2 linked regions of the Bombyx mori genome follow. The protein of the gene in region 2 purifies or fractionates together with the protein of the main gene of each other region. This does not show direct contact. Links are inferred from orthologs where the notes say so. Each region holds a gene or a part of one and is shown on either strand. Other genes may lie near its edges. The genes, in order: transcription factor Dp-1 and retinoblastoma-like protein 2.

Evidence for each region.
Region 1: the proteins of retinoblastoma-like protein 2 (region 2) and transcription factor Dp-1 purify together in Drosophila melanogaster (affinity purification with western blotting; 4 studies listed by BioGRID, with this or other methods). This does not show direct contact. The link is inferred for Bombyx mori from reciprocal best matches to the Drosophila melanogaster genes Rbf and Dp.

The regions. Positions count from the first base shown.
Region 1 is NC_085110.1:8,925,167-8,929,720, reverse strand, and holds the start of transcription factor Dp-1, read right to left. Parts: upstream 2,950-4,554; 5' UTR 2,591-2,949; coding exon 2,542-2,590; intron 2,259-2,541; coding exon 2,131-2,258; intron 1,573-2,130; coding exon 1,521-1,572; intron 1-1,520. UniProt on the Drosophila melanogaster protein: Component of the DREAM complex, a multiprotein complex that can both act as a transcription activator or repressor depending on the context. In follicle cells, the complex plays a central role in the site-specific DNA replication at the chorion loci.
Region 2 is NC_085125.1:4,988,081-4,991,915, forward strand, and holds part of retinoblastoma-like protein 2, read right to left. Parts: intron 3,446-3,835; coding exon 3,310-3,445; intron 2,570-3,309; coding exon 2,487-2,569; intron 981-2,486; coding exon 814-980; intron 382-813; coding exon 165-381; intron 1-164.

The sequences.
Region 1 (4,554 bases), on a different chromosome or scaffold from region 2:
TGTGGGCGGTCTTCCATGAAGACGGAACCCTGTTAGTGCAATAAGAGAGGCGATACAAACGCGTTAGCGCAGGCGTCAGCTCAGGGGCGCACGTTTTTAGAACCACTGCAGGGTTGCCGTCTGGCCCACTCGACTTATGAACGTCCAGGAGTCGGAGTTCCCACCTGACTGCACACTGTGCAAAGTAGATCTCCGGCAGGGAACTATCACACCGGGGGATGTTCGGTGGTGTGGCACCCCCGTCGTTCAGTCGAGTTCGAGGCGAAGAGTCCCCTATAACCTCCATATACGCAAATTACCCTTCCCTATTCACGGTTACTGTATTCGCGGCATATTTTTATTATGCTTCAACCCCGCGAATAATAAACTTTTACTGTATAGAGACTAGTAAACGTGATCTTTGACTATTGCAAAACAGCCTTTAAGAACAAGGTTAGACAGTGGTGACAATAATTACAGACTCAACAGGAAAATCTCCACTGCGAAATCGGAATCGTAAGACACCTGATGAATTTATATCAAGTGATGTGGCTATGACAAGGTTCAAAACCTCCATTAATCATTTGGATCTTATTGTGTCTTAAGACATTGTGTAATATCTGTTAGTGGGAAGTATCTTAAGACCACTTGAGTAAATAGATATCACTATTTTGGCTATTTCTGCCACAAAGCAGTCGAGAGTTCTGGTTTGATGGGCCGGACAGCCCTTATATAAAACAATTGATATTACAACTTCAGATCTCTAAGAGGGGTGATACTTATTGATTTATATGTATGTTTATATTGTAGGCATAATTTCTCACCATAATTTTGAAATGTATAATGAAGTGAATTGATGGACTAATTCAAATTATATAAGTTTGTTCATAAATCAGCTTATCTAACATTAATTACCACCATCATGTGGATTATTTTAATATTGGATAGTCAATCAAGATGTTCTTTTTATAGTGTATGTATGTATTAAAAATTAGATTATGTTCCATAGCAGAAGTATTGATACTTGTAAACAGTGATACTAAAACACCCAGAACTAAGATTAATATAGTGTGCAAAATTTTAGTAACAAAATACTTCCTAAATTTGTATATATTTGACATTCATTACTACTTGCTCACTTTATTTTTATTAAATTTTTTTGGATGTAGATGTACCTAACAATTCGCAAAGCACTAAATTACATGTATGATTACATTGAGAAATGAGGTTGAAGTCTCAAATGTATGCAAGAAGCTAAATTATTTGCTATTACACCATGCCTATTTCTGCTGTGAAGCAGATGCATTTCACTTTGAAGGGTGGAGTATATGTTATTATACTGTAAAAACTGACATTTTAGAACTTGTGTCTCAAGGTTGACGGCGGCATTGACTGTTGATGTCTCCGGTAACCACTTAACACCGGGTGAGCCATGAGCTCATCCAGCCATCTAAGCAATAAAATATACAGTTATATATTAAATAGGATTCTTGGTTACTTTCTACTTTCTGTCAACAAACCCTGTCATGCTGAAAACTTACTTTGTTTGTATTGAACAATTCCAAATCTTGCAAAACTGGCTGGAACAGGTATCTGTTAAAGAGTATACTCATATAAAACTGAATGGTAAATGATAATCAAATTGCTAATTCTGGTTTGGTACCTATTGACCTATGTAAGATGTAAGTACTGAGACTTTAGAACTAGTCTCGTGGTGGATGGAGGCAATTACATTGTAGATGTCCATAAGCTCCAGTAACCATTTTAGACCAGGTGGATCATGAGCTCATCCACCTATCTAGTAATAAAAAAATACAAGAACTAGGGAGTCCTCATTAGTTGTAGAATATTTTTCAAATTCAAATCAAATTACAGTAGGGCATAAGGGCATAGGTAGGCTCAGTTCACCCAACTAAATCTAAATTATATTAGAACCCCAAAAGCTTAGGTTAACCACAGTGACAAAGGAAAGTAATTATTATTATATTTCATGTCATTTCGTTCGTTCTGTTTATTAAAAGTTTATTCAACATATACATTACTACTCTAACTAAAAGTTTAGTCTAATGAAGCGTAAATAAATAATGTTTATAATAATATATGTAAAACATATAGTGGTTTCATATATAAAAAAATTGCGAATAATCATACCTTTGCACATTTGACCGGAACAGGTGATACAGTAACAATTTTAACTGGACTCTCTTTCGGTTCTGCTTCGATTTGAGCAATCAGTGGTTTACTTGTAGTTTCCAGCACTTTCACCACTTGAGGAAGTCCTGCAGGACATATCATCGAGTCTTTATGTATTTATAATCTAAATTAAAGACTTACTGAAGCGTCGGTGCCATCAGCTGATTGAAACAAAAAATATCTCCGTAATAAACAAACGCTGTGATGATGTTTATTTCGGCAGAATAAAAGGCGTCGAAGATAATAACTAAAGCTAAGCTACTAGTCTTGAGTTTGGTCCAATTGATCTAGGCTTTGTTTGCAATACAAAGTCTTAAATCCGATAGGAAAAACAAGTGTCACGTAAACTAAAGTAGCACCTCTACTAACCGTTAGCATCATGGATAAGGTAATTTATTGTACTATTAGTTTGGGACATTTTCTCCACACTCCTTGAATTTGGACGTCCATTTATGTTTCATAAGAACAACGTAGGACAATTGTTGATGACGAAACAAATTAAATAATACCTACTCAATTCGTATGACCAAAATCACAGGTCAAAATGGCGACAAAAATATGGGTTAGAACCAAAACTATAGCCAATTTTTGAACCGATAAATGAACCTTTTACAGTTTAAAGTTTCTATTAATATATGTAACATTGATAAACTTTTAACATTTAATTAAAGTATATTAAATGCGCGAATCCAAGCACCATCACCAACGCAGCGCGGGACGAGAAGGAAACGATGCAAGAGGCGGGATTTTTGGATTTACCAGCTGATTGGATGAGGTAGTTCACGTGGTACTATTCAATAGTTGCTAGATGTGAAAAAAAAACAAAAAGGCGCCAATTCTCAATCGCCATTTTGTTTTTAGGTGTAGATGTACGCATTTAATGTCCTTGCCATCGCAAGAATTTAAAAATGTTTTCCGAAGTGCGCCATGCATGAGGTTAATTTAATTATTAAACTTCATGCATGGCCCCATGTCTTTCTTGTTCATAATAGTCTGTTCGGATTCAGTTTCTTCACGTTGTTACGTTATTTTTCTACAATGTTATGGTCACTTACTTTTTTTTTAGTGGTATAGTATCATTTCTGATATTTTTACGATTATGAAACAATATCACTACTCGTTCTTCCAGTATTTATTGTAGAACCTTGTGTATATATAAAAACTAAGCTACCATAAAAAAGCATTTATGAGATTACAATAATTTTTTTCCGGCCCTTGTTGGCAGACGAGCATACGGCCCACCTGATGGTGAGTGGATGGACTTCAGCAATGCCAGGGGCAGAGCCAAGCCGCTGCCTACCGCTTAATACTCTCCACAAGCCTCGTTTGAAGACGTACATGTCATAGCGCACGGGGAAACATCGTGGAGGGAAGCTCATTCCATAGCCGGATAGTGCGTAGCAAAAAAGACCTCTGGAAACGCACTGTGGATGACCGCAGTGGCTCCAGATAGTATCATCTCGAACAATTCCTCAGAGCACTCCTCATGGAATATACGGTACAAAATACAGAGGGAACCGAAGTCCCTCCGTAGACCCAGAGGTTCCAAACGATCCGTGAGAATGGGATTATCGACAATCCGAACGGCCATCCTCTGTATGGAGTCAAATGGCAGAAGCTGGTATTTTGGAGCCCCGGCCCAGAGATGGGAGCAGTACTTCACGCGAGGCCGGACTTGTGCTTTATAAAGCAAAAGCCTTTGTTCAGGCATGAAGTACCGCTTCGCTCTATTGAAGACTCCCAGCATTTTGGACGCCAACTTGGCTTTGCCTTCCAAATGACTCCGAAACTGGACATCGCTCGAAATGTTGACCCCAAGTATCCCGATACTCTCGGAAGATTGCAGGGATACTCCTTGGAATTGCGGCGCCATGACTATTTAATGTCTACAAATATGATTATAGGTTGAATCTCAATAGTCTGCGGGGATGTATTATTAAATAAACATCATCAACTCGATACTTCTTAAAAAACACTATCTCAAACTCACATACTCGTTTTTCCTAAAACCAACAGCTATCGAACCATAGCTCAAACTGTTATTGTAATAGATTGAGATACCGTTAGCCCCTTAGGTTGAATGCCCAATGCAGGTAATAAATATGAGACTATAAGAACTTTAGAGGTTGAGAAACATTAGTACATGTCGATTTGATCAAACAGAGATACTTTTCTTTTTAAATATAAATAAATCAACAGTTAAAATTAAATTTTTTTAGACTGAAATTTCCCATGTTGGCTTTGTGTTGTCTGCTATCCATCAACAATTTAATCATACGTTTTACTGGTTGTTGGTACGCTTAACATTAAAAATCAAACAGATAGTTAGCATGGCACATTATATTTTTTATTTTTTTATTGCCTTTGTAGGCAGACGAGCAT
Region 2 (3,835 bases):
TTATAATGAACAAAGTGGAGAGGCAGAAATATTGCTATTGTAAAAGAAACCGAAATACTTAGCTTAACAGTGAAATTCTCTGCTTATATTAAGGTTGGATATTATTCTCAAGATAGCAAGCACAATTTTTAGGACAAAACTAAATTTAGAGCTATATATCTTACCTGCAATGAAACCTGTGGCTTTTTCCTATGTTCCTCTTTGATGATATGTTCAAACACCTTATAATATAAACATGTGACCATATTACAGCGTATAGAAATTGTCTCACTATGCGGGGTATTGTGTGCTTCCTTCAAGCTGGCCCCAAATTGTTCCATCCAACCATTGCAGGGTTTTATTAGTTTTGCATTTATCATTTCATCAGTTACGCCGCATTCCCTGTTGAAATAGGATTAATTTGAATAGTTTTTTTAGCGCAGAAACCTTTTTTAAATGCCTTCTTGATTAAATCTAACCATTCAATAAAATACTTACTGTTTGTCACAATTTATAGTAATTAAAACGAAACAATAAAAGTATAGACATATACATCAATATATATAGGCAGTCGTAGATAATAGATTAATTGAAAATAAATTGGTGAAGTAAGCATCCATTTAGTTATATCGTTATATATAGCAAGAAAATATGTAACTTAATTATGGGATATTTCTGAATTTGGTAGGTGAGTAGTATTTGTATTGTGATATTTGCATAAGTCCTACGGTGTTGTTACCTTTTGATATGAAAGTAATTGCACATATACTATAAGCCCTACTTTGAGAAAGATAAGCGATTATGACAGTTGAGTGGCTGAATCGCAGTACTCACGTGAAGAGCCTGAGCAGCGTGGGCGAGGGTTGGGGGCGCGCGTGTCGCAGCGTGGCGGCGAGGCGCGCCAGGCTGTTCTTGGCCTCCGACACGGGCGTCAGCTCCTCGCTGCGGCGCGACAGGTAGCGCCGCCCCGTCAGCGGCGTGTCCGGGCACGCACGACCGCTCTGTACACAAACATTACTTTTACTCAACGGTTCATTGTATTAATTAAGTAACACATTCGACTACATTGGATTTACTGGTGGTAGGACATTTATTTATTGAAGTTATACTTCTTTAGGCGCGTTATGAAAAACTGATGTGAGTGAAATTTTAAAATGCGCGCGCACCGTGACAAAAAATTAACAGAAATGAAGTTGCCCACTAAATCGCTCATTACAATACGACCGACGTAACTTGGCGAGTCTGAATATAGCCGCAGGTAAACTTTCGCGCATTTACACTCGTAAAAAAAAGTGTTATTAGCATTCATTTTTTAGTAATATAAATGACAAAATTATTATTTAATATAATTCATACTAAATATTATTAAATTATTAACGTTAAATATTTATTATTAATTATTTAATATTTAAAAAAAAAAGACAAATTTAATAAAAATAAAGTATAATTTCTTGCGTGCGTACATAATTTTATTTATTAATTTTTTATTTATTTATTTAGTCTACTTACAAATTAACAGTATAAACCAAAACATTTGTAAGGTACTAATAATTAGCTTATGTAATTTCTAACAACAACAATAAATCGCTGATTTTGTTATGCAATAACTGATAGTAATGCACCATAAGAGTCATTTTCCGTCTCAGCCCAAGAGTATCTAACCCGACCATACCAGTCACATAAAGTGATGAATACAAGAACGGATAGTATCCATAAATTTTCTTGAATATAGTTTTTCCAGCATTAGCTTTTGAACAGCTTCGCGAGGATCCCACACGAGTGCGTTATATTCAAGACTACTTTGCAAAGACATTGCGTGAATCCGCACCCCGCCTATTTCTGCCTTGAAGCAGTAATGCGTTTCGGTTTGAAGAGTGGGGCAACCGTTGTAACTATTCTGAGACCTAAGAACTCATCTCAAGGTGGGTAGCGGCATTTATGTTGTAGATGTCTATGGACTCCAGTAACCACTTAACACCAGGTGAGCTGTGAGCTCGTCCACCCATCTAAGCCATTCAAAAAAAACCTAGTAGCTGAAACACAGCATTGATCAGTATACAGAAACGAACGAGATTTGGTGGTATTGTTAATATTTTAAACCAAATCCTACCTCATTATTTGAATGTTAATAGTTATTACTACAGGTATATAGTGCTAACAACAAATTTATAAAGATTCAATTCAACATTGTGCATTCGATATTTAGATCACTTATTTAATCCAGCATTGCATAGTATAGTATAGTATAGCTGCGTATGTATATAGTATAGTATAGTATGTACTTCCAAATGTGAGAGTAGACTAAAATAATTGAATATTTAACTACTTAACTTTGAATCTAACAATGTAAATATATAAAAAATCATGAAGTGGATATTTAGATATCTGTATTTAACGTTCCCTATGCATTCCGTCAATGATACCCTAAATATATATCTCATTTATTGTTAGTTGGAGGCAGTAAAGTACTATGAAAAATTCCAAGTGTAAACATAATATAAACTTACAGGACCGAAATTAGCTATTACTTCTGAGATCTCATCACCGGACACTTTGTTCTTCATTCCAATTTGTTCATTTGCTTGTTCGCCTGCAAATAATATTCAAATTTAAATTTATAAATTAAACTTTATAAGGTTAGGTTAAACAGTTAAGCATGCACAACTGAAATGCTTTTAATTGGCATTGCTTACATTTAAATTACATTATTACAAATCAGTGCATTCTTACTGAAACACAACACATTCATAAAACCTACTACTAGTTTCATAATAACTAATATTTATAATCTTGAAGGTAAAATTGTTTCTATAAGAAACCATTAATGAAGTTTGTAATCAATATAGTCATATCTTTGATATTAATATTCCATACCTTCATTAGTATTATCAATAAAATATGTTAGTATGGGATTTAAATTATATGTTGACATCTTAATTAAACAAAATTCTTTAAATTTGACAGTGTCATAATGTCAATTAAAAGGAGTCAACATTTTTCAGGTTTGTTGTTTGAAATGATCAGTCTACAATAAAAAGAATTGCAATAATTCCAGGAAATTACAAAAATAAAGGTGAAGCTCAAGTGTGCTTAATGTAGTTGGTATATATATTGAATGTCTGTTACTTAAATGCAACATTATGATGTCTATGGACTCCAGTACTGACTTAACACCAGATGGGCCATAAGCCTGTACACCCACCTAAGCTATAGAAAAAAATACATATTAGATGACAAGCATTGATATATTAAACACCCATTAATAATTCAAAAACATTTCTATACTTTGAAGACATCAATTTTTTTCATTTGTTATCAAGTGTGACTTACCTAAAAAAATCCTTTCATCAAATTCTCCTACACTGAGAACATATGTTTCATACAAGTTGTTCAGTGATTTAAGATTTACATCAAACACTCCCAAATCTAGAATTCCAAGCGTAGGCTCACTATTGCCTTTCAGTATCTATAAATACAAATTACATATTATATAATCAAATAGTGTTATAAATCTATATACGCACCTCCATACACAAAACAAGTACACCTAGATCTTGTATTACTAATAAATAAATAACTGAAAACAAATCACATATGGTAACTTGGCCCCAATTTAGGATTCCCTGTGTTATGGGTACCAGCGACGGGCAAACATACTTATGTACATTTCAATATATACATATTGTAGATAGTAAGCACTCAAACAGAGAGCAAGTTAACCTATTCATTACATAATGTTTTATCAATGTGGGAATCGAACCCACAACCCTTGGCGCAACAGTCAGGGGTACTAATTACTACACCACCAAGTCAGTCAGTGGTATACAAAATAAACTTGTGATTTTATATTTATCTT